4 linked regions of the Canis lupus familiaris genome follow. The protein of the gene in region 4 interacts with the protein of the main gene of each other region in a biochemical or structural test. Links are inferred from orthologs where the notes say so. Each region holds a gene or a part of one and is shown on either strand. Other genes may lie near its edges.

Region 1 (7,557 bases), on a different chromosome or scaffold from region 4:
ATTATGTAGAATTGGTGTAAATTATTTAAATAATAAAATAATAATAATAATAATTCTTTAAACAATAAATTTAATTAATTAAATTTAAATTAAATTTAAATTTTTTGGGGGTAGAGTTTTTAAGTTATGAATTTAATTTCCTGAATAGATTAGGGCTATTCAAATTATTTCATATTGAGTGTGTTTCGGTAATTTGTATTTTTTGAAGAATTGGTCCATTTCCTCTAAGTTGTCAAATTTATGTGTGTAGATTTGTTTGTAGCATTCCCTTACTATCCTTTTGATGGGAAGGAGCAGCTTTGACTAACTCAAATACAGTTTAGAAACTAGAGTCAATCCCCAGTAATCACATGGCTAGTGCAATAATAGTAAGGTGGTAACTAGAAGGATAATTGGCATATTGTTAGGAAACTAGAAAGTTCTAGGTACACAACCTAATGTCATGTCAACTCTAATTTTCTATAGAATGTCATTTGTTGGTTTTACATGATTATTCTTCTAGATAAATTTTAAAGTCAGTTTGTCAAGTTTCAAAATTAATTCCATTGGGGCCCAGGATTAAATTTTATTTAATTTGTAGATTTTATTTAATTTGTGCAGGTTCCCACAGGGAAGGAATTAGAATCAGTCTGCAAATATGCTTGAAAAAAAAACCCTCTCTGCCTTCTATTGCCTCAGAAGGCCTATCACTCATTGTTGAAAATTTTTTGCATCATGTGCTAGTAATTAATTAGACTTGGTTACAACTTTTTATTTGCAAGTAATTTTAAACAGAAAGGTTACAAGGATACAAACTGATTTTTCTGGTTTCTCTGTTCATTGTTTTTTGAATACCACATCATTCTCCTATTTTAGCATTATTAATTATTCACTGCTGTACATATTAGAGTCATTCTTTCAGAAGAATGTGCAGTAGGTTTTGAGGCCTTGTAGTGCCCCACCCCCCCCAAAGGCATCTGCGTTTTAAACGCAAACGTTATCTACACTTGAATGCTATTGGATGTTGAATTCAAGATTAAAATGCATTTCTTGGGATGCCTTCAGCTCAGTCAGTTAATCTTTTGCCTTTAGCTCAGGTCATGATCCCAGGGTCCTGGGATCGAGTCCTGAATCTGGCTCCTTGCTCCTTGCTCAGTGGGGAATCTGATTCTCCCTCTGCCCCTCCTCTTGCTTGTGCTCTCTTTTTAACATTAAAAAAAAAAAAAAAAAAAAACTTAAAATGCATTTCTTTGAGGATATTGAACACCTTGCTTTGTTGTTGAGAAAAGAGAATGCTATTCAATATCCAAAACTAAAAGCTGAATTTATTTGCTTGGTAAGCCAGAGGTAACTGTTTATGTAAAATAATTTCTGAAGAAAGCAGGGATCTCATCTAATAAATACAGGAATGAGTTAGATTTGTAGTTTTCCTTTCTTTGTTCTGAAAGTTTGTATAAATTGGAATTACTTGTTTTTTGGATTTTAATAGAACTTTCCTGTAAAACCATATCCTAATGTTCATTATGGGAAGATTTCTTAAATGACTGATTAAATGTTAGTACTTTTTTAATTTTTATTTTTCTATGAATTTGTACATTTCAGCTCATATTTATTGATAAAGTTGTTTGTAATATTGCCAGGTATTTTGAATGTGTGCAGAATTCTAATCATGACTCCCTTTTCATTCCTGATATTTGGGTGTGCTTTTTCCTTTGTTGCCAGAACTATGTCCATTTTGTTAGTCATAATAAAGAACTACCTTTTTGTTCTGTTGAGCCTTTCTTCTGTATCATTTCTTTCTGTTTAATGAAACTCTACTCTTATTTGTATTATTTCATTTTTTCTGCTTTATATTCTACTTTTCTACCTGTTTAAGACACACTCAGTTCATTATAACTTACTTTAAGGTTTTCTTATTTTTCTGCTGTAACTATTTACAACTAGAATCTCTTATACTCCTTTTGCTGTATCCCACAAGTTTGGTTATATATAGTCTTTTTATTATTTGACTCCTCTACATATTTTCACAATTCTATTATAATTTCTTCTTTGATACATGAAGTTTTTAAAAAGCTTTTTGTAATGATTGGCAGAATATGGTTGTAGGATACCAAGTACATGAAAGTTATTGAGACTTTTTCTCTATTGCTTAATGTTTGATAATTTTCACATATGTTTCATTTATATTCTTTTGGAAGTAATATTTGTATATGTTTATTAGATCAGACTTAATGGTTTTGATGTCAGTTCTTATTGAGCTTTAATAATTTTTTTGTCTCCTTGATTTATTACTGAGATAAGTATGTTAAAAATTGTCCACTGTGACAATGGATTTGTCCAAAAAAATTTTTTTTTTGTGGTTCTGTCAGTCCATTTTGGAACTATGTTAATAGACAGAGGTTTGGCTGTTATGTATATTTAATAAAGCCTTCTATTGTGTAGTGAAATTCTTTATTACTGATAATGGTTTGCCTTAATGGTTTGTCCTTTTTGTGTGTTATTAATATAGCTACACCATGTTTGTCTTAATTAGTATTTGATTAGTTTTAGTATTGCCTGTTTTTTTGTTTTTGTTTTTTCATATTTTTTCTTTCAACCTTTTAGTTCTCTTAGGTTTTTACACGTATCTTTTTTGAAAAGTATGTAGACTACTATTAAACCTTGTAAAAATATTGTATATGTTATTACAGTGCTGAAGCTGCTGAAAGATGGCAGAAGAAGTGGTAGTAGTAGCCAAATTTGATTATGTGGCCCAACAAGAACAAGAGCTGGACATCAAGAAGAATGAGAGATTATGGCTTCTAGATGACTCTAAATCCTGGTGGCGAGTTCGAAACTCCATGAATAAAACAGGTTTTGTGCCTTCTAACTATGTGGAGAGGAAAAACAGTGCTCGGAAAGCATCTATTGTAAAAAACCTAAAGGATACCTTAGGTAAGTTATTTTTGTGTTAAAACACCAACAATACTTTATTTAAAGTGGATGTTAGAGCTTGGTTCTTTGTATAGAATTTTGGCAGCATTGGGCAGAATTGAGTAGAGAAGGCCAAGACTAGAATTTCAGCTAGGCTAGGTACATTTGGCACATAGCACATTTTCAAGTCAGAAGAGCGTAAGTGTTAGTGAGCATTTTCTATAAATCTAGCTGCTGTTCAAGGGCCAAACTATAGTGGTGCTGATGAGCAGGACTGAGTCTGATCCTTTAGCCAGGACCTGTTGAACTGTGTGAATGCCTATAGGAGTTGAGGCGCAAATTCTGCATCTCATTGAGGCAAATAAATGAGGGAGATTCAGAATTGCCAAGGAGGCATTAAGGCAACTTATGACACATTGCTATATTTTACATTTAACAGCCTACATTTTGAATTTTGCTTTTAAAAATAAACCATCATTTTGTTCTTGTATTTGATAAAAGAGTTTCAAATTGTGGATCGATCATTACTGTAGATTAGCATCTACAAAGCCGATTTCTTTCTTATTTTTCTCCCCCCTCCCCCATCCCTTTTTCTTCCTTTAACTGTAAAGTTTGTTTTTACTAGCTCTCCATTAGGGCCAGAGATAATGGAACTTGCTTCACACCGGGCTTGGCTGAGCTGATAGGAAGGAAATATGCACAGATGAGGACTGGCCTCTTTCTTTTTTCTTTTAATTAAACTCTCCTTAGCTGACAGGAAGGAATGGGAGGGACAGAATTTCATTTTTGGTATTCAGGCAAACATGCTCTTACTTAATGGTTCTTTGTATATATGTAGACGAGAAAGTAAAATTTCTGCTTGCAAAGATAGTTTGGCAATGAGTAATATGGCATGATTGACAAATATGAAATATTATTGACTAACTGCTTTATATTAGCTTTATTTTTTATTTGACCTTGTTATCTAGAGTGCTCTCTCCGTTATCAGCAACAGAAGACAAATCTTTTATTTTTGACACTGTAAAATAGCCAAAACTAAAATATAATACAACTCAAAGTAAATATAAAATATTGGGATATTGTTTTGTGAGCAAATAACAATTCTAATATTCTAAAGGAGTTATTAATCTGAATTTTCATCATGACATCTAACTGCTATATCTGAGGATACCTTTTATTAAGATTTTAAGGTGTTGCAAATAAGACCAGTATTATTAGTTTTTAATACTAGTTTTTAAGTGAAGGACAAATCAGATTTTCCTCTAGCAGAAGAGACCATAGTTAGAACCAGGAATACTTGTGATTTTGTAAATATTGGACACTTACTTAAAGCATGTACATCAGAGGTACTGGGGAAAATTAAGGTAACTTCTATCAAGAAAGTATGCCTCATAGGAATGCAGGCACAGAAAGGATTAGGGTTACACCTAGATAGACTTTTTATTCCTTTTTAAAAGGATACTGGTATCCTGGGCAAATGTTTAAACAGAAGATGGTGAAAAACCTAATATCATAGAGCAAAATGGAAATATATCCCAGTTTTAGATACTACTGAATATAAACTTTAAAAAGCCCAACTAGAGAGAATTTTTATTATTTGTTGATATTCCTGGGAAACCTTTCATACTATTTTCTGATATAATTGAGACAGTTTTGGCAAGATTTTATATCTAAGTCATAGAGTATCTCTGCTAACTTTACTACTGTATTACAGTTATTGCTGCTTGTATTGCAGGATACTTGAAAACATTCTGTTTTAAGTTAATGATTGTTAGTTCTGTATAATGATGTAATTCTAGCTTTTGTATCAGAAAGCTGCCTCTTTCTCAGAATTTCTGAACTCCTTTTGGTAACTTAAATGTCCCATGTGGCTAAATGGATTTGTTTCACAGTGATTGTGCTGGTGGAGACAATGTTTGAAAGATAGAAAAGGGGAAACAAAGGAGAGAGTGAATGTATGAATATATATTCATTGAAAATGTATACTTTAAAGCTTTTTCCAAAATACGTCTGAATAATAAGGTAACATTCGTGGCCATGATGATATACTTGTTTTACAGATTCTGTTAGATTTCAGGGGGGAAAATGTTTTAGAAAGAGAGAAGCCTCAGAAAAATTCTCCCAGAAAAACTTTCTATTGCCTGGGTGTAGGCCAAGTCACATGGATTGGGTGTGGGGAGTTTCAGTGTTGCAGAACAGACCAGGAAGCTCACTGAGAATTATTCTGAGCTGTGTTAACTGACAAGAGAATACGGGATTTTTGTTCAAAATGGATTGGTTAAACGTCTTTAAAGACTTTTTCAGTAAGTTCATCTGTTTATTAAATCCATAGTTTTCTTGTAGTTTTTAAAGTAGATTTTTCGGTTTTGTGAATTTAAAGAAAACTGTATGGAACCTGGTGTGTTTATATAATAGGCTGGTGCTTTATATTGTTTATGAAACATAAGCTAAATGATTGGTGATAGTTCAGGTAATACTAGTTTTGACCTGATAAGTAATATAGTTTTGAAATGTTTTAGTATCAGTGTTTAAATAATAAAGAAAAAGATATAAATGAGTTCGCAGTTAGTTTTAATTTGGTAACTCTGAACTTAGCATAGACATTTGAAGTGAATTAAATTATAAACATTAAAAATATGAGGAAAAGAAAGGATTAGATGAACAAGTTCCTTCATCTTCAGTTTTGAATTAACATAATATTGTTTTAGTAGTTTTTACTTAGATTTTAGAGGAATAATGTAGAAATAACATTTAATAAAGCAGGAAAGAGAATGTTTTGATTTAATCAACGTAGGATTGGTAGAAATTGCTCTTTTGGTAAATGTGAGATTTGATATTTTGAAATGAGTCTTGAGAGCAACTACATACAAAGAAAATGAAAACAGTGAAAGGAAGTAGTGAATTACTGGGATTGTTTTGAGTTCAGGTCATAATGTAATACTGATACTAATTTACCAGAACCCAATGTGTATATTTGCTCTTGGCCTTTTTATGATCTTATGATAGTGAACTTGATTTGATCTTTTTGAACATTTGTTTAGTGTTTCTAGAAAAATGAACAGAGGAGTTGTTGTAGAAGTCTCATGCATAAGGAATTTAAGGAAACAAAGAGTAACCTGTTGAGAGATTTCATTTTCTTTTTTTTTTTTTTTTTTTTTTGAGAGATTTCATTTTCAAGCAGAATTGTAAAGGAGTAAGTAATTTGTTGAGAAAGAATGTCATAATTGTAATATTAAGACTCATTTGTTTCTTTAGTTAATTTTGATGACCAAGTGAAATTCTTCTGGAATATATCTCTTGTGTTTACTTTTAGGAAAGTTAATGCATTTTTAGATCCACTTTTTGGGGTAGTTTTCCTTTTGGAAATTTATTTATTCATTTGTTTATCAACATATTTTTCTTGAGAGCCTACTGCAAGCCAGATAAAAATCATAGGGTGAAAAACTAGTACTTTCATAGAACTTATATGGTGAGGAGGTAGATGAGGGTTGTTATTTAGTATTAAAATACTAAATAAATGAATTTCATATCTCATTTTGGTCATAAGTGATGTTGACTGTAAATCAACCAGAAATGGTGTAAAAAGAATATATCATTGATATGATGATTCATTATATACCATCGATAGAATAATAAAATTATTCTTTCTATTGTCTTGCAAAGTTGGTAATCTTCAATATATTTGTAGACCTGAGGGTCAGGGTATGAGATTTGTAACCAAAATACTCCTTTTTTCATTACCTGCAGGAAGCCCAAGTTTGTATTTATTTTGCTTTGAAGTAAAGGTACACTATATGTGCTCCTTATGTGGTGGCTAAAATAAACAAAGAGGGTACAGTATTTTAGGTAAAACAGAAAAATCAAAAATAATAACTTATTTTGTATAGATGAAATAACATAAAAATCAAAATTTAAATAAAGACTTGTAATGGAAAAAACATTGTATATTTGCATTTAGAATTCCCTAGTTTTGCTCCTAGATATACCATTTATTTAACTATGTGATCAAGAGTATATACCTAAACTTTCCTGATCTCTTATTCTTTATTTGTGAAGGAGATTTGGGTAAGACTAGATGATCTGGAAAGTCCCTTCTAACTCTAAAAATCTTATGGTCCTGGTAAAACAACTGATCAGTTTACATGTGATAGAAATCAGGGGAAAATCCATGAGGGAGAAACTGGTTTTGAAGAAGTAGAAACATAAAACCATAACTATATTTCCTTAAAGAACTAGAATCAGTAATACTTTCTTTGGTCTAATTCTGTTGAACGTTTATGTAGTCAGTGAATTAGATGGAGTGAAGATGGCATGTTTAAAGTAAAGAAGACCTAAGGCCAGAAGAATAACTAATACATTGAGTTCATTGAAAGCTAAAAATGAGAAATAAACAATGTGAATAGGGACAATGTAAAATTTTACATTAAGTTTTTATAACGAGAATTGTTTTTATAAGAATTGAAGAGCTTGCTGAGAACCTGGCCTGGCAGAATTATGTAAAATTCTTACATGAGTTAAGAGACTTATTAAAGAGCTGCTGTGAGGTCATGATCTCAGGCTCATGGGATTGAGCCCCTGCATCAAAGCTCCACACTGGGTGTGGAGTCTGCTTAAGATTCTTTCTCCTTCTCCCTTTGCCCCTCCCCACTCTAAAATATTTTAAAA
Region 2 (8,070 bases), on a different chromosome or scaffold from region 4:
TGTGAACTTTTGTGAATTGGAAAGCACTATATAAATTAGGTATTATTGAGTTCTTCAGTTAAGTAAAAGATGACTCAGATTTGAGTTTGCAAATTAGAAAAACACTGACGCAATTGACAGAAAAGGGGAAGCTGAAAGGCACAATTTAATCCAAATGGAAGCTTGTCTTGAACATGGGGGTAGACTTAGGGCCAAATATCTATTTTAAATACATATATTATGTTAATTAACAGGAAATAGTGACAGGATCTCCAATCAACCTTCGCTTTTCTCTGGTTTCTTCTCATCCTTATCCACCTACATTCAAACACTATTTATTAAGCATATATTATGTGCTGGGCACTGTGTTAGGCACTGGAAATACAGAAGATAATAGTAAAGTAGGCAGCCCTCCAAGGAGCTCTGAGTAGGAAGGGAAAGAAACTTATAAGCAATCACAATGGAATGTAATAAGAATTTAGGCTGTGACCACAGTGTTTGCATAGAAATCATAGGGTGTGGTCAGATTTTGTTCTACTCCTAGAATATAAGTGTTTCAGAGTCACTAACAGATAGGTGGGTGACTCCTGAAGCCTTCATGATTAGCCTACCAAAGGAGAAGCTATAGAGAGATTAAGGGCTGAGCTTCTACATATAGAGGCTGGAGATAAAAGTGCTATCAAAAAAGACCAAGAAAGCGTATTTGAAGAGGTAGAAGAAATTGTTAGCGACCCAGAAGCTTGAAAAAATAAAAAATAAAAAAAGGATTCTTGAGTCACCTGGGTGGTTCAGTCCATTAAGTATCTGTGCCAGAGACCTGGGATGGACCCCACATGGAGCTTCCAGCTCAGCGGGGTGTCTGCTTCTTCCTCTTCCTCTGCCTATCCCCCCTGCTTGTGCACATATTCTCTCTCTCAGATAAGTAAATAAAATCTTAAAAAAATAAAAATAAAAGGTTCTTTCCAGAGATTTTCTATATAGACACATAGAGCCAGGGAGATCAGGGAAAACGATAGGGTCAATGGAAATCAGTGATGATCTCCAGAGGTCAAAGTAAGAGCAGAAGGCAGATGAAGGCTGGGCAAGGAGTGGCTGATGATAAAATGGTAAAATCTGGTAATAAAAAGGTAGTTCTCCCGACCCTCACTGATCCATTGAGAGATCTGCACACTTTTAGGCTATGGAGGTGGGAGCCCAAGTAGAGGCTGAATAGTAATAATAAAAATCTCTTACATGAGGTTTAATACGTGTCAGGCACTATTAGCTTGTTTAATATATGAGCCATGGCCCAAGGTCACCCTAGCTAGTCAACTGGGAGCAGAATTTGAGTCCAGTCAGTTTCAACCTGAGAATAATACATGACAATATTGGGGTGGAGGGGATTGAAAACCTGCTTATGCTGAGTCACAAAAGGCACTAACCCTTGACATTTCCCCTTTAGCTTACCCTAAGCTGGATATCACCCATCACCCTAGAATTAGGTGTATGTTCAACCTGAGGGCTGCAAGCGCCGAAATGAAACTCCACTGACAAAGGGATCTGTATAGGTTTGTTATAGCCGGCGTCTCCCTTTCTTTACAGGCTTTCTCGTTTGTCCAGTTCTAGGGGTGGTGCTACCAATAATCGGGCACCAATAGCCTGAGGATTTTTTTTTTTTTTTCAAAAGTCAATTCATTCAACAAATATTTGAGCATCAGGTCAGGTCCAGACCTTGTGCTAGGCCCAGAAGCGAGCAAGACAGACAAGATCCCTGATCTCTTAAAATTTCATCGCGGGGAGGGGAGGCAGGGTGGAGAAACAGGCCACCACGACCGGCCGAAGCAGGTCAGCCAGGGGGCGGGCATGCGAGGAGATTAGCTCGAGAAGCTGCAGAACTGGAGCCGGACGAGATCTTCGGGCCACACCCGGGGGAGTCCGCATTTCATCAGTTAAACGCTAATGATGGCCAGATTGCACCAAAAGGTGGACTTCCTCGGGCCACTCAATCCTGTCGCTCCGACCTTCGCAACCCCTTTTTGCGGCTGTCGAGTTTCCCGGCCACTCTGGGTCCCTGAGCCTATCAGGCCACCTCGGCTTTGGTCACGTCAGCCCCCGCGGTCGCGTCCTTCCAGAGCCACCTCGACCCACCGAGGCGTGTCCGCCCGCGGGTCTCCCTCAGCGCGGGTCCCCCGGGGCCCCTGGGCCAGCCAGGTCACCTCAGTGCCACGCCTCCACGGCCAGAGGTTCTGCATGCACGTTCTGCTTTGTTCGCGGAGCAGGTTTTCGAAACGCCGCTCCCTCTCGACTCCAGCTGTTTTCCAGCCGGAGCTGGGGGGGAGCCCGCAGCGGCAGCGCCCCCGGCGGCGCACCGCAGCCCAGGAAGGGAGTGGCCGTTACCGCCACCTCCTCCTCCGCCGCCTCTACCTCCTCGCCTCCCCCGCTTCCCCGGCCGCCTCCGCCTCCTCCCGGAACGCGGGAGCGGCGGAGCGCGGCGCACGCCCCGACCGTCACGACCGCGCTCCTGATTGGCCGCGCCGCGCGACGTCACGGGGCGGGCCTGGGCGGCAGCTGAGAGCCAGAGCTCGCGCGTGCGCAGACCGAGCGCGCTGAGCGGAGGGGGAGGTGGCCGGCCGCTTGTCCCGCGTCCGCCATTTTGTTGCTGTGGCTCTTGGGAACGGGCTGGGCGAAACCGCCCCGGAGGCGCGACGCTCCTGGGAGTCCGGTGCTTCGCGTGGCGGCGGGTATCAGTGCAGAGCCGTGGGGGGCGCGGAGTCGCGCGTTCCGGGCCAGGAGTGGCTGGAGGCACCCCCGGTACGCCGGGCAGCCCCAGAACCCCGGGGCGGCCTCCGCTGCGGCTCAGCTTCGCCCGCCCCGACCTCGGGCTGTGCCCTGCATTCCCCGGGCCGGCTCCGTCCGTGAGGCGGCCCCGGAGCAGGCGGGCGGCGGCAGAGGATGCTGCGGGCCCGGAGCCGAGACGAAGGTGCTGGCTCGGCCCTCTAAGCGCGCCTCGAGGTGTGCCAAGAGGCCCTTCCTTGGCCGCAGAGCCGTCTGTCGGGCGAAGGCGTCCAGAACAGCCGAGAGCAGCCGCCGCCCCGAGTCGCCGCAGAGCCCCGGCCAGACACCATGTCCTCCGCCAGGTTCGACTCCTCAGACCGCTCCGCCTGGTACATGGGGCCGGTGTCTCGCCAGGAGGCGCAGACCCGGCTGCAGGGCCAGCGCCACGGAATGTTCCTAGTTCGCGATTCCTCCACCTGCCCTGGGGATTATGTGCTGTCGGTGTCCGAGAACTCGCGGGTCTCCCACTACATCATCAACTCGCTGCCCAACCGCCGTTTTAAGATCGGGGACCAGGAGTTTGACCACTTGCCGGCCCTGCTGGAGTTCTACAAGATCCACTACCTGGACACCACCACCCTAATCGAGCCCGCGCCCAGGTACGCGAGCGCCCGCACTCCCCGCGCGCACAGCCCCCCTCGGACCGCGGCGGAGGGTCGAGAACAGCAGGGGCTGGTTCGCGGGGGATCGACCGCCGGGTAGGGGGTGGGGGGAGCGGGATTGAACTCCTTTCACCCCATTCTGAACCAAATTGTTTTCCAGAAGGCATTCTGATCGGAAGGCTAGTGCCAGGGTCTGGGTTGTTGGATGAGGGGATGGGTTTTAAACCTGTGTAACGGCGGTTGCCTGGTTAAAATGCCCGCTTTGTGCCGTTCGTCACATTATCTATTGGGTTATCCTAATCGAGACGTTTTTGTTGTTTTTAAGCCTTTTTTGTTTTGTTTTGTTTTTTTTTTTGAGAATCTCAGGGCAGCTGTGGCGTTCTCCCTCCGTAAAAATGCACGTACACACAACTTTGCACACCGTTCAAGGTTCTTGGGCTCCCTGCTCCAGTTTAAGAACTCTTGGACTGCAGCCTTTGGAATAATCGACAAATGAAAATGCTTGAGCGTTTAGGAACAAAACCTTTCACAGTGAAGTGGCGGAACTATGTAGGATACCTTGGTGCTAAATTTGAATTACCTAGACACCTTTTGTTTTATAACTAACACATTTTATTTTATTTTATTAAAGATTTTATTTACTTATTCATGAGAGACACAGAAAGAGAGAGGCAGAGACACAGGCAGAGGGAGAAGCAGGCTCCATGCAAGGAGCCTAATGTGGGACTCAAACCCGGGAACCCGGGATCACACCCTCAGCCAAAGGCAGGCGCTCAAGCGCTGAGCCACTCAGGCATCCCAACTAACAGAAATTTTAAGAAGATGATGCATTGGCTTTAGCGAGGACGCATTTTTTTTTTTTAATTTTTATTTATTTATGATAGTCACAGAGAGAGAGAGAGGCAGAGACATAGGCAGAGGTAGAAGCAGGCTCCATGCAGCGGGAGCCCGACGTGGGATTCGATCCCGGGTCTCCAGGATCACGCCCTGGGCCAAAGGCAGGTGCCAAACCGCTGCGCCACCCAGGGATCCCCGAGGACGCATTTTTTGAGTTTTTATTTTATAGTTTATCCCCAGGGTGGACCATTAATAGGCCAGAAATGTATTTGATTATATTCTAAAGAAGAATGAAGCTAGGATGTAAATTACTAAGGAAATTTTTGAGCGATACTTTAATTCTGTCCTAGTTTAATTTTAGGTATACCTTTTGTACATTTGTAAGTTTAATAATTTAAAGCAAGCAGCATTCTCTTTTCTAAGTAAATGCATTATTTTATTTGATTACTTGCTTTAATTTGTCTTTAGTATTTTTTCACGTTTCTTTTATTTAAATTATGTCAAATTTGAACTGAAGAAATTGCTTGGAATTTTTTTTTAAATAAAAAGTATTTTGCTGTCCATTTTGGTTCTTGAACTTATGTTTAAAAGGAATAGGCTGCCGGGATCCCTGGGTGGCGCAGCGGTTTGGCGCCTGCCTTTGGCCCAGGGCGCGATCCTGGAGACCCGGGATCGAATCCCACATCGGGCTCCTGGTGCGTGGAGCCTGCTTCTCCCTCTGCCTGTGTCTCTGCCTCTCTCTCTTTCTCTCTGTGTGACTATCATAAATAAATAAAAATTTAAAAAAAAAATTTTTTTTTAAAAAAGGAATAGGCTGCCGATATAGATTTTTTTTTTTTTTTTGGAATGACCTGTTTCTGATTTTATAGATTTGCTGATAAGATGTTGCACTGAGCTTTAACCATTAAAAGCTATAATAATTAAGGAGCACCCACTGGATGCCTAAGTGTTGCTTCTGTGGAGTAAGAGAGAAGAAACAAAGCCATGACAGTATAATGACTATAAGATTAACTGCTGAACTAAATGGACTTTAAAAACTGGGAGAAAGTGATTATAAATCAAATAGTGTTATAACAAAGGCCTAAGCACCAAGAATCTGATTGGTGAAATCTCCAGGTCCCCAAAGATGCTGGTAATTGGAGTTGACGTGGAGCATGGTATATTCTGATATAAGAGGTTGGAGAGAGTATTAGAACCAACTAAAATGAGATTTTTAATATGTTCAAGTGATTACTTCTCCAACTCATGGAGGTGAATTATATCATTAGTTTCATGCACTAAGCCATGCTATATGTGCAAGGCATTGTGCTTGCTTTGAGGTAACAGGTACTATAATACAGCTGTTTCAGAAGGTGTGAGTAAATGGTTTGATCCCCTTCTAGGGACTAGAGAGAGAGAGAAAGGAATAATGCTGCAGACTAGAGAGAGAAAAAGGAATATGCTGCAGGGGTTCCCGTGACCCAACAAAAACAACTCCACATTTTTCACACATGTGTCTTCCCAGATACCAGACATAACTTTCTGTTATTCCCCACCTTGTTCTTCCCTTAGTGCAGTCCCGCTAGGCAACTCACTTAATTCCTGGTAGCCATTCCTGCGTACCTTCTCACACCTTTGTACCTTTGCTCCAGCTGCCAGGTGGGCTGCTGGCTCTTCAGTTGACTGCCTAACCCTACCCCACTCCTCACCTATTGAAATCTTAGCTGCTGTTCCAGACCCCTCAAATAATGGGGCCTTTCCCTGACCCTCCCACTTACACGCAGCTGTAATTGTTTCTCCTCTTCACTGTCTGCCCCAGGCATGTTGCTGTAATTTAGTTTTTTATTTTCTGCTGGTATCTCAGAGGGCGATCACAATTCTGGTAGAATTAGATGCAGACTGGATTTACTTAATCTTTGAATTGTCTTCCTCAAGCCTGAAATCTGAAGATGGGTTTGATATTTCAGCCTTTGTAGAAAACTAGAGGTGCCATGTAAAGCCTTGGCCAAATGCAAGTCAGTTTAATGCTTCTTCACACCCCAGACAAGATAAATCAAGTGGTTTAGTTTTCTAGGCAGCAAAACTGAGCTCTTAAGGCCAGAGTTTCATACCCCTTAGGTAAAAGTTCATTTTAAAATTTTGCTTAGTGAAAAATTATGACTGTATGACTTCCTCGGAATTTAAGGATTGATGCTTGTTTTCTAGTCTGATCTTGGAATGTTATTGGAATCTAGTCTGTTATTGGAATAACATTTAGTTTTATATATTTTTATAAGGTTTTATTTATTTATTTGAGAGCAAGAGAGAGCATGAGCTGGGGGAGAGGCAGATGGAGAGGGAGATGGAGAGGGAGAGCGGCAGACCTCCCCACTGAGCGAGGAGCCCTATGTGAGGCTGGATCCCAACACCCTGGGATCATGACCCAAGCCGAGAGCAGACATTTAACCGACTGAGCCACCCAGGCACCCCTAATTTTATATATATATTTTTTTTAATTTTATATTTTTATTTAAATATTTACAAGAGTTATATCCCAGTGATAGGGACTGAGAGCAATGAATGTCAGATTGTCTCTATTTTACTGGAAGAGACAAAACTGAAAAGTAGGAAAATAAGTAAAAAATACTTACAAGATTAATAAATACTATGAAGGAAATGAAGCTGAGCAGAGAATATAATAGGAGGGACCTACCTGACGTAGTGTGATCAGAGAGCACAAAGCTACCTAAGGGTAGAGAAGAGGCAAGCCTTGGGAAGGCTTGGGCTAAGAGTGGAGGAAGAGCTTACAGAAAGTCCTGAGATGAGAAAGATAGCCACTGAGTTGGGGGTGTGGTACTTAAATGAATGAGTGGGGTCTAAGAAGAGTTAAGAGATGTAATGGTCAAGATAAGGAAATTGGATTTTATTTAAAGCACAGTGGGTGGGGGGGATCCCTGGGTGGCTCAGCGGTTTGGTGCCTGCCTTTGGCCCAGGGCCTGATCCTAGAGTCCCGGGATTGAGTCCCACATCGGGCTCCCTGCATGGAGCCTACTTCTCCCTCTGCCTATGTCTTTGCCTCTCTCTCTCTCTCTCTCTCTCTCTCTCTCTGTTTCTCATGAATAAATAAGTAAAATATTAAAAAAAAAAAAAAGCACAGTGGGTGCCATGGAAGGAGTTTGAAGCAGGGGAGTGGGGTTGTTACAATTATCTGGGTGCAAAATGATGGTGGCTGATGACATATAAGTCACAAGGCTGATGTAGAGGTGTGACTTGGAGGTGCCTGTTTTGGAGTTAAGATTGATGTTACTGACGGGAGGGGGGGTGATGAGGGAAGAGAAAGGAAAAAGCAAAGATGACTTGGTACATTTGTAACTTTGTGTCCTCTCAGTTTGTCTTACTAATTACTTTTTGTATTTGTAGTGTTCCTGTGGTGGGTTTTATTTATTTATTTCTAAAAGATTTATTTGTTTGTTTGTTTGTTTATTTATTTATTTATTTATGCTAGAGAGAGAGGCAGAGACACAGGAGGAGGGAGAAGCAGGCTCCATGCCGGGAGCCCGATGTGGGACTTGATTCCAGGACTCCAGGATCGCGCCCTGGGCCAAAGTCAGGCGCTAAACTGCTGAGCCACCCAGGGATCCCCACCTGTGGTGGGTTTTAAATTTAACCCCCAAAAAGTGTCATATCCTGTCAGATGGCTTTTGTTGATTTTGAGTGACACTAAAGGATTTTTTTTTTTTTTTTTTAGATTTTATTTATTTATTCATGAGAGAGACAGAGATGGTGGGGGCAGAGACAGGTAGGGGGAGAAGCAGGCTCCATGCCGGGAACCCGATGCGGGACTCGATCACGGGACTCCAGGATCATGCCCTAAGCCAAT
Region 3 (8,156 bases), on a different chromosome or scaffold from region 4:
GGAGGTACAAAAAGGCAACAACGGGTAATGAACAGTCCCACTAGATCTCTAGAGAGTGGTTTGGTCCAGCACCACCTTGCAGAGGCAACACAAACAATAACCACTCTAATTTCTGCCCCTCACCCACTAGAACAATAGGTAGAAGGCTCTGAGTTAGGCAGGTAACAACAAGTGCCATCATATTTCTATGTCTTGGATCCAAGGTCCTTTCATACTTCTTGATGCACTCCAAACCCCTCCACCCCAGCACTTACTCTCTTACACATGCTATCTTATCAGTGCTCACCAACCCACACCATGCCTGCCTATGAGCCTCTGAATGCTGAGAACAGTTTTCCATTTTTCTTCAACTCCTGCTCTCCCAATCTCATAGTTATGTATGTACATAAGACTAATACAGCTAATACTAAGTATTTACTACATGCTAGCCCCATTCCTAAGCATTTAATACACTAAAATTCATTTAATCCTCAATACAAACCTATGAGGTCAATATTATTATTTCCTCTCTTTTACAAATGAGGAAATTGAGGCAGAGGCAATTTAAAGAACATGCCCAAAGTTATATAAGTGGTTAAGTCGTAAGGAAGATTCAAACCCGAGCTCCAGGGCTCAAACTTATAACTACTCTCCCAGCTCACACTTGTTCAGTTTTGTTGATTGTCTACTGGCCAAGGTCTAGCAATACCTCATTGTTTGAAGAAATGTATGAAGCAATGATTGCAAAGCCTTCCCAAGAGGTCTACCTTGGAAGTCCAACCTGACAGAGTATGACCAGTAGACTTGCCCAAGCTCTGCCTCATAGCCCTGAAGCACAACCAGGGTGCTCCCAGACTATGGCAGCCTGCAGAAGCTACACATCTAATTTAAAAAGATTTACCAGGGATCCCTGGGTGGCGCAGTGGTTTGGCGCCTGCCTTTGGCCCGGGGCGCGATCTTGGAGACGTGGGATCGAATCCCACGTCGGGCTCCCAGCATGGAGCCTGCTTCTCCCTCTGCCTGTGTCTCTGCCTCTCTGTCTCTCTCTGTGTGACTATCATGAATAAATAAATAAAATCTTAAAAAATAATAATAATAAAATAAAAAGATTCACCAGAAAAGGTTAAAAATATCCGATCCATCCTACCCCATGCCTCTAAAAACTGTATCTGAGCCATTCCATATTAATTCTACCCATGTATTATGTCCACAAAATATGCTATATAATCCTAAGCAAAAAGTTCATTTTTCATCTTCAATTTGCCAAATAAGGATTTAAAAGCCTCATCATTGACTTTTATTTATTTATTTATTTATTTATTTATTAAATTTTATTTATTCATGAGAGACAGAGAGAGGCAGAGACATAGGCAGAGGGAGGAGAAGCAGGCTCCATGCAAGGAGCCTGATGTGGGGACTCAATCCCAGGACTCTGGGATCGTCACGCCCTGAGCCAAAGGCAGAGGCTCAACCACTGAGCCACTCAGGCGTCCCTCATCATTGACTTTTAGATAAAAGACATGTATTGTCCAAATACTAAAGCTAGTTTCTTCTGGTCATCCTTTCCTTTTGGTCTTTAAACAGAACATAGGACCCTGTGACAGAAACAAATCTTCTATGAGCACTGTTCAGATCTCAAAAGGAAAGAGAAAGAAGTACAGAATAGTGTCAGCTCTCTAGTCAGAATTCCGAAGTTGAAAATCTGGCTCAGTCATTTATCAGCTGTGTGACCTTGGGCAAGTTCCTGAATCTCTCTGTTTCCTCACCTATAAAATGAAAATATTTTAGTAAATAGAGATTACAGTATTTCTCACCAGATTGTTATAGACAGAAAATGAGACAAGGCACAGAAAGTACTCAGCAAAGTACTTGGCACAGAATAACCAGTCAATAAATGTTAGCTATTAATACTCTACACGCTTTTCTAAAATTAAAGAAATTCCTCTGTATAGTTTCAAAAAGAAAAGAGCTTGACGGGGAAGCAAGGAGAACAAAGACTAAGTAACCTTTATAAAGACAGCAACTCAATCAATTGCTCTATGTGAAAAACTGGGCACATTACCAGAAACAAGAATTAACACAATGCCTGTGAACTTTCCACACCCCATCCACAAACTCTGGCAATCTTCACCTTCTCTCTTGAGCCAAGGATTTGAACTCCTATCTGTTATGAAAAGGTGGAGCTCAATATCAAGGTAAGCGCAGAGATATAAAGTCATAACACAAAGGTGTGTAGAAAGCTCAAACCAGCAAACCTGCCTGTTGTCATCTCCAAATTTTGCAAAACGCATACATAAAAGGTTGAAAACTGGGGGTGCAGGAGGTTGAAAATTGAATTTCAGTGACAGTTTGACATATTACTGCACTGTAATGCACAACCCTAGATACCAAGAAGGTGGTGAAAAAGCACAACATAGGGATCCCTGGGTGGCGCAGCGGTTTGGCGCCTGCCTTTGGCCCAGGGCGCGATCCTGGAGACCCGGGATCGAATCCCACATCGGGCTCCCGGTGCATGGAGCCTGCTTCTCCCTCTGCCTATGTCTCTGCCTCTCTCTCTCTCTCTCTCTGTGACTATCATAAATAAATAAAAATTAAAAAAAAAAAAAAAAAAAAAGGAAAAGCACAACATATCGGGTTTAGGGCAAATTTATGTTCTATCAATATTCCTGTCTCATGTTATGCTATTAAACCAAACAGACTGGGACGTGCCTGGGTGGCTTAGCGGTTGAGTGACTGCCTTCACCTCAGGGCATGATCCTGGGTCTGGGGATTGAGTCCTGCATCGGGCTCCCAGCGAGAAGTCTGCTTCTCCCTCTGCCTGTGTCTTTCATAGATAGATAGATAGATAGATAGACAGATGATAGATAGATAAATAAAATCTTAAAATAAAAATTAAACCAAGCAGACTGAGAAGACCTAGGATACTTCCTGGATTTAAAGATCTCATACTCTTCCTATAATTGATACGTGTTAGCAACAGAGACTGACTATCCCATCTCCCTATTTCTGGCCAGAGTGAATGAATCTAAATTAGGACTATCCCTAAAGGGCAAGTTTGCAAAGGCTGGCTCAGGAGGCTCCTAATTCTTATGAGACTGGCCTGGAGCTAGCCTCAGCTGGTCAGAAGAAAACTGCTTCAATTTGAAAAATGAGAAAGACTACAACTCTTGGTGCTGTTACACAGATGATGGTAATCTGACAATAACCTCAGAATTACTCTGTATTTCACAAATCTCAAGTACTAAGTGCATGAACCTCCTTAACATTCTCCAAACAGCTCTAAAGGCGTAAGTAGGACAGTCACATCTCAGTGATCCTTGGTTAAGAAAGAAAAGGGCCACAGCCCCAACTTACTGAGCAAGAGGCCCTGACATATGACATTGACAATGCTTAAGTCCAATGAAATTGGAAGTTCCATTCACTTCCAAGGAAGGGACTGTTTCCACTGGCTTATTTCCTGGGAGGGGTGTGGGGGCATAGAATCTGTCCTCCACAAAATACCCTGAAAACTAGAACCCTCTAATTGTGGAAAAGAGTCTCTGGACGCCAAGATCTCTTGGACACGGTCAGCTGGACATCAACTTGTTCTGGGCTGATCACAGAGGGCTTACTTCTGTCACCAAGGCACTTAGCTCACCACCTTCGTCCTCCGCGGGGGAAGAGGACAGTAAAAGTATTTTGGAAAGATGCCCAAGAAAGGAAAAAGCTGACCGGTTTCCTGAGGGTGTCTCCATCCCTCCGGGCTAGTATGTGGTGACTTCCTATCAAAGGCCAGCAGGGGAGAATAGCTCTCCAAACCAAACCCGGCTCTCTAACAGTACAGGAAATGTTTCAAGCCTAAAAAGCCACTTGTAGGATTATCGAATTCATCCTGGGAACCGCTGCCAAGTGATGCCCCCGCAGTGCCAATATCCCCCTCCGCTCTTTGTCCCCACGTTGCCCGCCCTGCCCTAGTGCCTGGCCCCGGCGCTAGCCCCACCCTGGGGCCGAAGCAGTTCCCCTTCCCCTGGGCTGTCCTCCCAAGTCACACCCAGAGGCCTGGGTCAGCGGCTCCTCCTCCACACACACACAACCGCCAGTGGTGGGAACGAGCCCGGGCACCAAGGTACCCCCATGCCAGGGTCGCTCCAGCCCTCTGCCCACGTCCCTCGTGGAGGCTAGCTCGCGAGGGGCAGCCGGTCAGGCTGGCGAGTTCCGCGGCCCTCACCCCGCCCGGGGCCTCCCGTCCCGTCCCGTCCGTCCTCACCGGGCGGAGGCTGGGCGGGCGACGGTGGCACAGACGGGCGCGGGCCGCTGCTGTTGATGATGTAGTGGGAGACGCGCGAGTTCTCCGAGACGCTGAGCACATAGTCCCCGGGGCTGGTGCTCGAGTCCCGCACCAGAAACACCCCGTGCCGCTGGCCCTGCAACAGCGCCACCGCCTCCTGCCGGCTCAACCGCCCCCAGTACCAGCTACTCCGCTCCTCCGAGTCGAAGTTGCCCGCCATGGCCGCCTCCGCGCCTACACGCTGGGCCGCCGCCGGCACGCGCGCCCCTCCTGCCCCGGCGCCCGCCGCCCAGCGGACCGGCTCGGGTCTCAGCTTCACAGCAGTGCCCGAAATGGCGGCGGCGGCCGCGGGCCTTCCCCACCGGAAATGACGCGCACCTTGCCCCCGCGAGGATGCCGGGAAGGGGACCGCAACCCGCCATGGGGAGAAGGGCAAAGGACAGCTCGGGTGCGCACTGCGCATGCGCCGCCGTGTGCGTCGCCGCCTGGCGGGGATCGGGACTGCAGGGGATGGAGGGGCCAAGTCCAGGGCCGGTGGTAGGGGCTCAGCGAGGAGTCGGCGGAGGTTTGTGTTTGCGGTTTTGGCCACGCGGCTCCAGGGTTCGAGTTCCTGGAAGGCCCGGGAATTCTAGGCAGCAACTCCGAGACACAGTTGGACTACAAAAGATGTATGTGGCCTCAGGGCCTGAGCTCCTGGAGACTTTGGTCCTTTTCTGGTGGTTCCTCCATCTTCTCTCTAGACTGGCTTAAGTATTTTGTTTGCACTGATTGACTCAGCAGTTACTGACACCACATTTGCTCTGTGGGTGCAAAGGTGATCAAGGTTTGGGCCCTGACCTCACAGAATTCACAGACCAGTGGGAGGAAGCAGGAACAATGACAAAGGAATTCCAAGCACTGTGAGAGGGAACCAACCAGGAGCTCCAGCCCAGTCTGTAAAGGGATTCAGTCCTCCACCTACCAGAGGAGGTGGCTTGAGCTGAATGTTGAATGGCCAGTAGGGGAAGAGCATGCAAGACAGAGAGAGCAGAATGTGCCAAGCCAGGAGTTCTCTGGATTGAGTCTTTCAAGTCATTTGCCCAGATTCTTCTAAACACTAGTCGTGGCCAGGGGTATCCTCTATTCTCCTTACTATCATGATCTCTGTCTCTGTATTCCATATCTGTATCTGTATTCCTGTGAACAGCCTGTTCACTGGTGCCCTATAGACTTGCTGCTCTAAGTACATTGCACACATCTGACAGTGTGTGCTTTCTAAATTACAACTCTAAGACTGTTCCTACCCTGTGCACAACTTTTAACAGTCTCCAGAACTGGGACGCCTGAGTGGCTCAGTGGTTGAGCATCTGCCTCTGGCTCAGGGGGTGATTCTGGGATGTGGGATCGCATCCCACATCAGGCTCCTTGCAGGGAGCCTCCTTCTCCCTCTGCCTACATCTCTGCCTCTCTCTGTGTCTCTCATGAATAAATAAATAAATAAAATCTTAAAAAAACAAACAAACAACAGTCTCCAGAACTTAAAATTCCCAGTTTAGGTCACAGCATAAAATGAGGTCACAGTGTCCTCTTAACAGCTCCTACATGAACCTTGTGTTTCTTTTTTCTGGAATACCCTTTCACTCCTTTCTGGATCTGAATCTCAAATGTCTTCTCTTTTTTTTCTTTTTTTTTTAAGATTTATTTATTTATTTATTCATGAGAGACACACAGACAGAGGCAGAGACACAGGCAGAGGGAGAAGCAGGCTCCATGCAGGGAGCCTGATGTGGGACTCGATCCCGGGACTCCAGGATCACGCCCTGGGCTCAAGGCAGGTGCTAAACCTCTGAACCACCCAGGGATCCCCCTGTCTTCCCTTTTTTAACCAACTATTACTTCCTCTCTGCATCCATAGCCCTGTGTCCATATTATTTCCATTACAGTTCCTACCCATTGTACTGTAATCCTTCATTCACAGGTCTGTCTGTGTCCTACACTAGAACTCCTCAAAGGCCACACATCTAGTGTAGGAGGCACTACATAAATGTTACAACAGCTACCATTTATTCAGGGAATACTGCCTGCCAGGCATAGCGCTAACTGCCTTTAGTATGGATCATCTCATTTAATCCTCTTAACAGCCTCATGGGTGGTATTTTACAACTATCCCCATTTTACAGGTGAAGCTCAGAGAGGTTAAGTTATTTGTCCAGAGACACACAGCTGCTGTGTAGGGAGCTGGTATTCAAATCCTAGAAGGAGCAGAGAGCTGTGGTCACGGTGCTGTATCCTCAGCAATGCCAATGCTGGAATAGGCATTGATGAGGACAGGAGGTTGGAGGAGGATGGCAGAAATAGACATTAAAGAAAAAAAATATATCAGCCCTGGATTTTGATCTTACATGAAAAACACACCTCTTCCGGATCTACTGCACACACCCCTGGGCCTGCTCTGGGAAGGGAAGGGGAGTGAAGGCACCTTCCCTGCTGTGACTCATTGTGACCCTGGCTTAGTCACAGCCTGTTACCACAAGCCAGTAGCAGAAGCCATCCCAGTGTGAATTCTGGCTCTTTGGGAAAGAGAGGTGTCTGTTCTTCACTTCTCCAGAATGGCGGAGGTTTGAGGCGGGGCCTTACCCAGAGACTGCTTGTGGGTTCTGATTACAGAAAATGGACTTGAAAAGAATAAGGGCAAAATAAAGAGGAAGAAAGGAAGGAGAGAAGGGAAGGAGGGAGGAAGGGAAGAAATAGATCATAACCAAGATGGAGGGGCTCCCTGGGTGGCTCAGCGGTTTAACGCCTGCCTTTGGCCCAGGGCGTGATCCTGGAGTCCCGGGATCGAGTCCCGGGATCAAGTCCTACGTCGGGGTCCCGGCATGGAGCCTGCTTTTCCCTCCTCCTGTGTCTCTGCCTCTTTCTCTCTCTTTCTGTGTCTATCATAAATAAATAAATAAATAAATAAACAAACAAACAAATAAATCTTAAAAAGAATAACCAAGATGGATAATAAGCAAGGAGATTGGCAAGGAGGGGAGACCCTGACCCAAGGGACTACTTACATGTGTTTTTATTGGAGCACAGAGAGGACAACATGGTAGGAACAGAAGTGGCCTTGGGACAAATTGAAGGCAAGCCCATCCTGCCCCTACTTCCTTTCTCTTCTCCTCCTCCTCTCCCCTTCATACATTCAGGATTTGCAGCTAAAATCGTCATACACACACACACACCTAATAAGCTTGAGATCTGCCCTACAAAGAATGTGACCTTCCTGGGATGTCTGGGTGGCTCAGTCGGTTAAGCATCCAACTCTTGGTTTCCGCTCAGGCCACAATCTCGAGGTTGTGGGATCAAGCCCCGTGTCGGGCTCTGTGTTCAGTGCAGAGTCTGCTTCAGATTCTTTCCCTCTCATTCTCTCTCTCAAATAATAAAAAAGTCTTAAAAACAAACAAACAAACAAACAGACCCTGTCAGAATGCCTGGGTAGCTCAGCGGTTAAGCACCTGCCTTCGTCTCAGGGCATGATCCTGGAGGCCCTGGGATCGAGTCCCACATTGGGCTCCCTGCAGGGAGCCTGCTTCTCCCTCTGCCTATGTCTCTGCCTCTGTGTGTGTGTGTCTTTCATGAATAAATACATAAAATCTTTAAAAATAATTAAAAACTCTGTAAAGTTGAAAAAGAAAAAGAAATTCTCTCTCCCTCTCCCTTTGCCCCTCCCCCTGACTCAAGCTTGAGCCATGTCTGTGGGTGCTCTCTCAAATGAATAAAATCTTTTTTTTTTTTTAATTTTTATTTATTTATGATAGTCACAGAGAGAGAGAGAGAGAGAGGCAGAGACATAAGCAGGCTCCATGCACCGGGAGCCCGATGTGGGATTCGATCCTGGGTCTCCAGAATCACGCCCTGGGCCAAAGGCAGGCGCCAAACCGCTGCG
Region 4 (7,434 bases):
GAGGGTCTCCGAGAGCAACAGGGTGGGTGGGCAGGGCCTTAGTGGAGGCACAGAGGCAGAAACAGGGGAGGGTCTTCATAAGAGGGGGATGGGCAGAGCTGAGGCAGGACCTGAGCCCAGGGTTGGGGTTTGGGGATCACATACAGGTAGGATGGAGATGAATTTGAGGGTGGAAACTAGGAAAATAAGAGTCTAGGAGCCATGGGTGTCAGATATAACAGAAAGGTCAGAGTTTGAGATCTAAGGTGGGGGTAGTTGCAACCCTCTAACCTCAGTTAGAGGTTAATGGTAGAGAGGCTGGGGTCAGCATTTGGGGTCAGGAGTTTGGGGGTGGGAATGCAGAAAGGGAAGAGTTCGAGGGTGAAAGATGTGGAGACAAGGTCAGTGAGGGGTAAATGTTAAAGAAATGGCATCAGGGGCGCCTGGCTGGCTCAGTCGGTGGAGCATGCAACCCTTGATCTCAGGGTTATAAATTCGAGCCCCATTGTTGGGTGTAGAGACTACTTGAAAATAAAATCTTAAAAAAATTACTAAAATTTATTTAAAAAAAAAACAGCATTAGAATGTACAGGGGATGCATTGGACAGAAAAAAAAACACATTTCAAAGGGCCCAAGTTTGAGGATCCCTGTTGAGACAAGATTAGCATTTGGAGGCCAGAACTGGGAAGACAGATGGACAGAACAGAACATAGAGGGCTATTTAGGGAAGCAGGACTGATGTTTGGGTCAAAGGTCGTGGGGTGGGGGCGTCAGGATTTGTAGGATTTGTGGGTGCAAGCCCAAGAAGTAGGTGAGAATGAGACCAGCTCAGGGAACTGGGTCAGGGTTTGAGTTCACATTTGGGGAAACAGGAGCTGGGGATGTCAGGTGTGGGAGTAAGAGAGAATTGAGGGTCAGGGATGGGGAACAGACTACCAGTGTTTGGGGTCAGTCATGTGGGGGTCTGGGAGGCCTCCTCCAAGATGACATAGGTCCTAGTGTCCTTGTGTCTGTCTCCACAGACCAGCACCTGCTCCTGGGGGCAGAGGAAGGCATTTTCATCTTGAACCGGAATGATCAAGAGGCCACGCTGGAGATGGTGAGGCCAGAGCCTGGGGGGGGGGCTGGCATTGGGGGTTCCCAGGGTCTTATGGGAGCCATCTCCTCCATTCTCTGCAGCTCTTCCCTAGCCGGACCACCTGGGTGTATTCCATCAACAATGTCCTCATGTCTCTCTCAGGTCTGGCTGTGGATTGGGTGGGAGGAGTGGGGTCAGAAGCTAAAGGGTTGAGAGTCCGGGGGTTGGGAGATACATGGGCACAGCTGGGGGAGAAAAAGTAGGCTCCCCCTTTACAGAGCCCACAGTTAAAATCTCAGTCCTCTTTTTGAGGTGGGACTCTATCTGTGTTTCCCTATCTGTAAATGTGGTTCACAATAGTCCCACCTCAAGTCAGTTTTGAGGTAAGATCCACAGTAAGTCTTGACATTTCCTCGATGTATAGATGCCAATGAGAACTTATTCCACACGTTACTGAAATGGGGTTATAAATTAAAATTTTGTGTTTCTGTTTTAGAAACATTTGGTGTAAAAGAACTTCTAATGTATAGGAGAAACACCAAGCAAATGGGCTTCTTGAGTTAGTTATCATGTCTGTGACGACAAATCTTAGGAGAATTTCTAGATAGGTTTCTCCTTAAACTTAATAACGTGCATAACTTCATCTGACTGGTTAAATGTCCATAGGTTCTCACGTGGCTGAGCAAGCACGGGAAGATAGGGAACACCTTTATCTTACTCATTAGTCACCAGAGCCAAGCACAGTGCCTGTCCTACAGCGGGCATTTAAAATACGCTGAGCGAGAAATGAACAAATAAAAGTGCTGAGACTTGAAGCCTTGGGAGTTTCAAAGGGATGGGGCCAAGTGAAGGGCCAGGGAAAGGTGGGAGTGTCTGGTGTCCTATAACTGCCTGCTTCCCCCTACACACACACACACTGCAGGAAAGACCCCCCACCTGTATTCTCATAGCATCCTGGGCCTGCTGGAACGGAAGGAGACCAGAGCAGGAAGCCCCATCGCTCACATTAGCCCCCACCGGCTACTGGCAAGGTACCAGCCCCCAGGGGCACCGCAGACCCCTGTAATTCCCCCTTCCTGCCGTCCCTCTGCATTTATGCACCTACTTTCTTCTGCAGGAAGAACATGGTCTCCACCAAGATCCAGGACACCAAAGGGTGCCGAGCTTGCTGCGTGGGTGAGAGAGAATCCCTACTGGGTGGACCTGAAGCGGGGGAGGGTGTGCTGGTCCGGGGGCAGGCTCGGGCTGCAGTGACTGGAGAGGATGGTGGGGTGAAGGCAGGCTGTCCAGAGTCTGGGGAAAGATGTGTGCCCTTTGGGGGGGGTGAGGAGCGGGTCAGGGAAGGGGAGAGAGGACTGACCCTAACCCATCCCTCCCCACCCCACAGCGGAGGGTGCGAGCTCGGGGGGCCCGTTCCTGTGCGGGGCATTGGAGACGTCCGTGGTCCTGCTTCAGTGGTACCAGCCCATGAACAAGTTCCTGCTGGTCCGGGTAGGGGGTCTGTAGAGGCTGGGGATTCTGAGGTTCAGTGGCCAGGGGCTTGCACTCCTTACTACGCTTCTGCTGAGAGCTTCGGGAAGCCCGGCTTCCACCCAGGCCCCGCCCACCTGCGGCAGGTGCCCGGAGGCTCCCCCTCCTGAGGGCCTCTGGAGCCTTAAACTCCTCCTGTCACCCAGCCTAATTATTTTGCGGGCCCTACGTCCCACCCCCATCCCACCCCCGGGTCTCCAAGGAGACCCCACTCAGACCCTTTGAGTCTAAGGAGACTTTGTTGCCTTTAAAGGGGGCACGACCCCAACAGAAGCCAAGCCAACTCTCATTGCTAAGGAGGCGTCACCGCACTCCTCTGGGCTCTCACCCCCTGAAGTTTCTAGACCGCATCCCTCCAAACCGAGGGCCCGGGGGAAATACTCGCGAAGACCCCCGCGGGCTCTCCGCGTTCAAGCCCCGCCCCTCGGGCCCGCCCACCCAGGCCCCTCCCCTCGGGCCCGCCCCCTGAGCCCGCCCCTCTCCGTGCGGCCTGCAGCAGGTGCTGTTCCCGCTGCCGACGCCCCTTCCGGTGTTCGCGCTGCTGACCGGGCCAGGCTCCGAGCTGCCCGCCGTCTGCATCGGCGTGAGCCCCGGGCAGCCGGCGAAGTCCGTGCTCTTCCACACCGTGCGCTTCGGCGCGCTCTCCTGCTGGCTGGGCGAGATGAGCACAGGTGAGGGGGCGGGGCTGGCGGCGGGGCGGGCTCTAGCCCGCGGTGGATTGCGAAAGGGGTTGAACCCGGGGCGGGGGCAGAGGTGGAATTCATACACCTGCTGAGGTTGTCCGCGCGTCGGGCCGCGGTGATAGGCGGCTTTGGCCCGCGGGCTGGGGAGTGGAGAGGGCGCCTAGCGGGGGAAGGCAGGATCGGCGGGACTGGCTTTCGAACCTCCCTCCTCTTGTCAAATAGAGCACAGGGGACCGGTACAGGTGACCCAGGTGGAGGAAGACAAGGTGATGGTGTTGATGGACGGTAAGGACCTCCCCTTTCCTCCACTGTTCTTGGATATCTGCCTCGCAGACCCTGTGCTGCTCAGGAATGCTGAACCCCTCCAGGCCTTGCCCGGGTCCTGCTTTGCTTCTCAATGAATTTATTCTCCATCCTCTGACCCTCACTCTTTTTTTTTCCTTTTAAGATTTTATTTATTTATTCATGATAGACATAGGGGGAGAAAGAGGCAGAGACACAGGCAGAGGGAGAAGCAGGCTTCATGCAGGGAGCCTGATGTGGGACTTGATCCCAGGACTCCAGGATCGCGCCCTGGGCCAAAGGCAGGCGCTAAACCGCTGAGCCACCCAGGGATCCCCTCTGACCCTCACTCTTAAAGCCCTCTCTCGGGGCGCCCGAGGGGCTCAGTCGTTAAGTGTCTGCCTTCGGCTCAGGTCATGATCCTGGGGTTCTGGGATCAAGCCCCACATCAGGCTCCCTGCTCAACGGGGAGTCTACTTCTCTCTCTCCCTCCCTGCCGCTCTGCCTGCATGTATGCTCTATTTCTCTCAAATAAATAAATAAAATCTTTTTAAAAAACAACAAAAGTTGGGCAGCCCGGGTAGCTCAGTGGTTTAGTGCCACCTTCGGCCCAGGGCATGATCCTGGGGACCCGGGATCAAGTCCCACATCGGGCTCCCTGCATAGAGCCTGCTCCTCCCTCTGCCTGTGTCTCTGCCCCTCTCTCTCTTTCTGCGTGCGTCAAAAATAAATAAAAAATCTTTAAAAAATATTAAAAAAATTAAAAACAACAAAACTCTCTCTCTCTCTTTCTCCTCTTCTAGGATCTTTGAAGCTGGTGACCCCAGAGGGAGCCCCAGTCCCAGGGCTTCGAACTCCGGAGATCCCCATGACTGAAGCAGTGGAAGCCGTGGGTATGTGCAGGGCTGGGAGGCCCCCCCGCCTGCCCAGAGGGGAGGCTTAGTGATACCCAAGGGTAATGGGCACTGCTTTCCTCCCAGCTATGGTCGGGGGTCGGCTCCAGGCCTTTTGGAAGCACGGAGTACAGGTGTGGGCTCCAGGCTCAGACCAGGTAAGCTTCTCCATCTGACCACCTCCAACCCTGCCCCTCCCCTGTGGTTCTTCTGGTTCCGCAGATGGAGCAGAAGTATTGAGTCAGGGTGTGGAGCCCTAACAAGAAGCTTCCTTTAGTCTCAGTTCAGACAGGTCCTCTTCTTTTTAATTTTTTTTTGTATTTTTTAAAGATTTTATTTATTTGAGAGAGAGTGCATGATCCAGGGGGAGGGGTAGAGAGAGAGAGGGAGACGCAGACTCCCTGCGGAGCAGGGAGCCCTACATGGGGCTCAATCCCAGGACCCCAGGGTTATGACCTGACCAAAGGAAGACATTTAACCCACTGAGCCAACCATGCATCCTTGGCCAGGTCCTTGTCTATACCCCAGGGTCTCTTGGGTCCAGAGGTCATTACAGGCCACTGTGTGATCTTGTGCAAGAGATTTTGCTTCTCTCTGAGCCTCAGTCTCCAACTATCAAAGGGGGCCGGTCACTAAAGAGCTACGTGGGTGGTTAAGAGCATGCACAGACTGCCTGGGTTGGAATCCGGCTGATTGACCTTAAGCAAATGACTTAACTTTCCCATGCCTTACTTTCCTCATCTGGAAAATGGAGTGAAAAATGCTCCTTAGCTCATAGAACACTATGTTTCAGACAGATGCTGCCCCTATATGTTTGTATTTTATTTAATCTCCACAATCACCTATCAGGAAGGTCCTGTGATTTCACAGGTTAGTAATCCGAGGCACAGAGAAGTAACTTGCTTGGGGTCACACAGCTGGTGAATGGTGTTAGCAAGAATGATTATTTCTGGACCTAGGACTAGAAGTTCAGAGACCCCCCCTCTACACCCCATTCTCTTTAAGGGAGAGGGGAAGAGTCTTCTAGATACTGACACACACACCTTTTCCCCAGCTGTTGCAGGAGCTGAGAGACCCTACCCTCACCTTCCGTCTGCTTGGCTCCCCCAGGTATGGACTTGGGGAAAGGAACACAGAGCCTGGGAGGGGGGCTTCTGATGTGGAGAGGTGTCTTGCGATGTCTCCAGCCACCTGTATCTTTGGCCTGGACATTCTCTCTCCTGGTCTCCCTGCTTCTATCTCTGCCCCTTATAGTCTATTCTCCACAGTGCAGCCCAGGGGGCATTTTTGTTTCTTAATTTTTATTTTCACTTTTTATTTTGGCATAACTTTTGACTCACAGAGAAGGTGCAAAAATAAATGTAAAAATTCTTAAATCTTTGTATCCCCTTCATTCATCCAGATTCCCCAGATATTAACATTTTGACTGTTTTGGGGGTATTTTGTGTGTTTTGTTTTTGCCATGTTTGATTTGTCTTCCTCTTTCATATGTATATGATTTTTTTCTGACCATTTGGGTGTGAAACAAAGACCTACTCCTGCAGACCACAACACAGCTGTCAAAATTAAGAAAATGGCACTAAGACTTCTCACTGCCTTCTAATCCACATGCCCAAGTCTCACCAGTTGGCCCAATGATACTCTTTATAACCAAATAACAGTACTTTTTTGGGGGGTCCAGGAGTCAATCCAGGATGATGGGATGCATGTAGGAGTCAGGTTTCTTTCATCTTTAGCCTGGAACAATTTTTCAGGCTTTCTTTGGTTTTCAGGACCTTGATACTTTTGAGGAGTACAGGAAAGTTGTTTTCCAGAATATTCCTCAGTTGGGTTTGAGGTTTGAGGTTAAGCATTCGGGGTAGGAATACTCCCAGAAGTGATGGCTTGTCTTTCTCATGCGTCCTATTAACACATGTCTGTTTGTCCCATTATGGGTGATGTTCTCTTTGAGCATTGGGTAGGGTGCAGGTTTTACAGCAGAAAAACCTGCTGTAAAGCTACTCTTTGTATTAATAAGTATCTTTTGGGGTGATTTGTTGTGAATGTGTAAATATACTCTTTCTCATCAGACTTTCACCCACTGGTTTTAGCATCTATTAATGATTTCTGCCTGAATATATTATGAGGAGAGTTACTAAATGGTGAATTTCTATTTCTGCACTTATTAGTTGGCATGCTCCTGTGGAGGAGCTTGTCCCTTCTCCGCCGTGTGTGTGTGTGTGTGTGTGTGTGTGTGTGTAATTTCAGCACAGCCTCATGGATTTCCATTTTATTCTGGGGGTTAAAATCTATTCCTACCATTCTTTACTTTGAGATGCAAGAACTCCCACATTTAACCAGTGAGAACCCCTTCAGGGATCTCTCATGACCTCTTGACATGCCAGAGAGGTCTTTTAAAATCTCAGTCCCATTATGTCACTCACCCTCCCAACCCCCATTTAAAACTACTGTGGCCTCAAGATAAATACCCAGTCCTGGCCACAGTGCACAAGACTTTGACTTCTGCAACCAAGTCCCAAACTCTCTCCCATCTCAAGGCCTTTCCCTAGGCTGTTCTTTGCCCAGAACACCCTTCTCTGACCTTTCACCAAGTTCCCTCCTGAGCCTCTTGGAGGCTCCACCGTCTATTCTTTGGGCCACCTCGGCTGACCCTTCAGGATAGGTTTCCACGCAGTACGCCCCGTGCTGTTTTGCACTCCTGTAATTCACTAATTCATGTTGGTCTCCCATTCTAGATTGAGCTCCTCAAGGGCAGAGACCCTGTCTGCTCATTACCGTGATAGCCCAGCACTGTGCTGGCACAGCCTCTGTTAACTCCTTTGTGAATGAATGAATGAATGAATGAATGAACAGATGAATGCATAAACTGACTTCTCTCCTCCTTTCCCAGGCCTGTGGTGGTGGAGACACGCCCAGCAGATGATCCTACTGCCCCCAGCAACCTCTACATCCAGGAATGAGCCCAGGATGGGAAGGGGTGGCGGTGTC

Evidence for each region.
Region 1: the proteins of MAP4K1 (region 4) and NCK1 form a complex in vitro, tested with the Homo sapiens proteins (2 studies listed by BioGRID, with this or other methods). The link is inferred for Canis lupus familiaris from reciprocal best matches to the Homo sapiens genes MAP4K1 and NCK1.
Region 2: the proteins of MAP4K1 (region 4) and CRKL form a complex in vitro, tested with the Homo sapiens proteins (2 studies listed by BioGRID). The link is inferred for Canis lupus familiaris from reciprocal best matches to the Homo sapiens genes MAP4K1 and CRKL.
Region 3: the proteins of MAP4K1 (region 4) and CRK form a complex in vitro, tested with the Homo sapiens proteins (2 studies listed by BioGRID). The link is inferred for Canis lupus familiaris from reciprocal best matches to the Homo sapiens genes MAP4K1 and CRK.

Annotation. Positions count from the first base shown.
Region 1 is NC_049244.1:33,870,082-33,877,638, forward strand, and holds part of NCK1 (cytoplasmic protein NCK1), read left to right. Parts: intron 1-2,669; 5' UTR 2,670-2,687; coding exon 2,688-2,913; intron 2,914-5,047; exon of another isoform or gene 5,048-5,161; coding exon of another isoform or gene 5,162-5,195; intron 5,196-7,557. UniProt on the Homo sapiens protein: Adapter protein which associates with tyrosine-phosphorylated growth factor receptors, such as KDR and PDGFRB, or their cellular substrates. Maintains low levels of EIF2S1 phosphorylation by promoting its dephosphorylation by PP1.
Region 2 is NC_049247.1:30,744,313-30,752,382, reverse strand, and holds the start of CRKL (crk-like protein), read left to right. Parts: upstream 1-2,548; 5' UTR 2,549-3,081; coding exon 3,082-3,392; intron 3,393-8,070. UniProt on the Homo sapiens protein: May mediate the transduction of intracellular signals.
Region 3 is NC_049230.1:45,569,065-45,577,220, forward strand, and holds the start of CRK (adapter molecule crk), read right to left. Parts: upstream 4,574-8,156; 5' UTR 4,467-4,573; coding exon 4,226-4,466; intron 1-4,225. UniProt on the Homo sapiens protein: Involved in cell branching and adhesion mediated by BCAR1-CRK-RAPGEF1 signaling and activation of RAP1.
Region 4 is NC_049222.1:115,284,945-115,292,378, forward strand, and holds part of MAP4K1 (mitogen-activated protein kinase kinase kinase kinase 1), read left to right. Parts: intron 1-1,002; coding exon 1,003-1,079; intron 1,080-1,159; coding exon 1,160-1,220; intron 1,221-1,980; coding exon 1,981-2,089; intron 2,090-2,175; coding exon 2,176-2,234; intron 2,235-2,445; coding exon 2,446-2,549; intron 2,550-3,084; coding exon 3,085-3,259; intron 3,260-3,493; coding exon 3,494-3,556; intron 3,557-4,356; coding exon 4,357-4,446; intron 4,447-4,533; coding exon 4,534-4,604; intron 4,605-5,500; coding exon 5,501-5,556; intron 5,557-7,336; coding exon 7,337-7,406; 3' UTR 7,407-7,434. UniProt on the Homo sapiens protein: Serine/threonine-protein kinase, which plays a role in the response to environmental stress. Appears to act upstream of the JUN N-terminal pathway.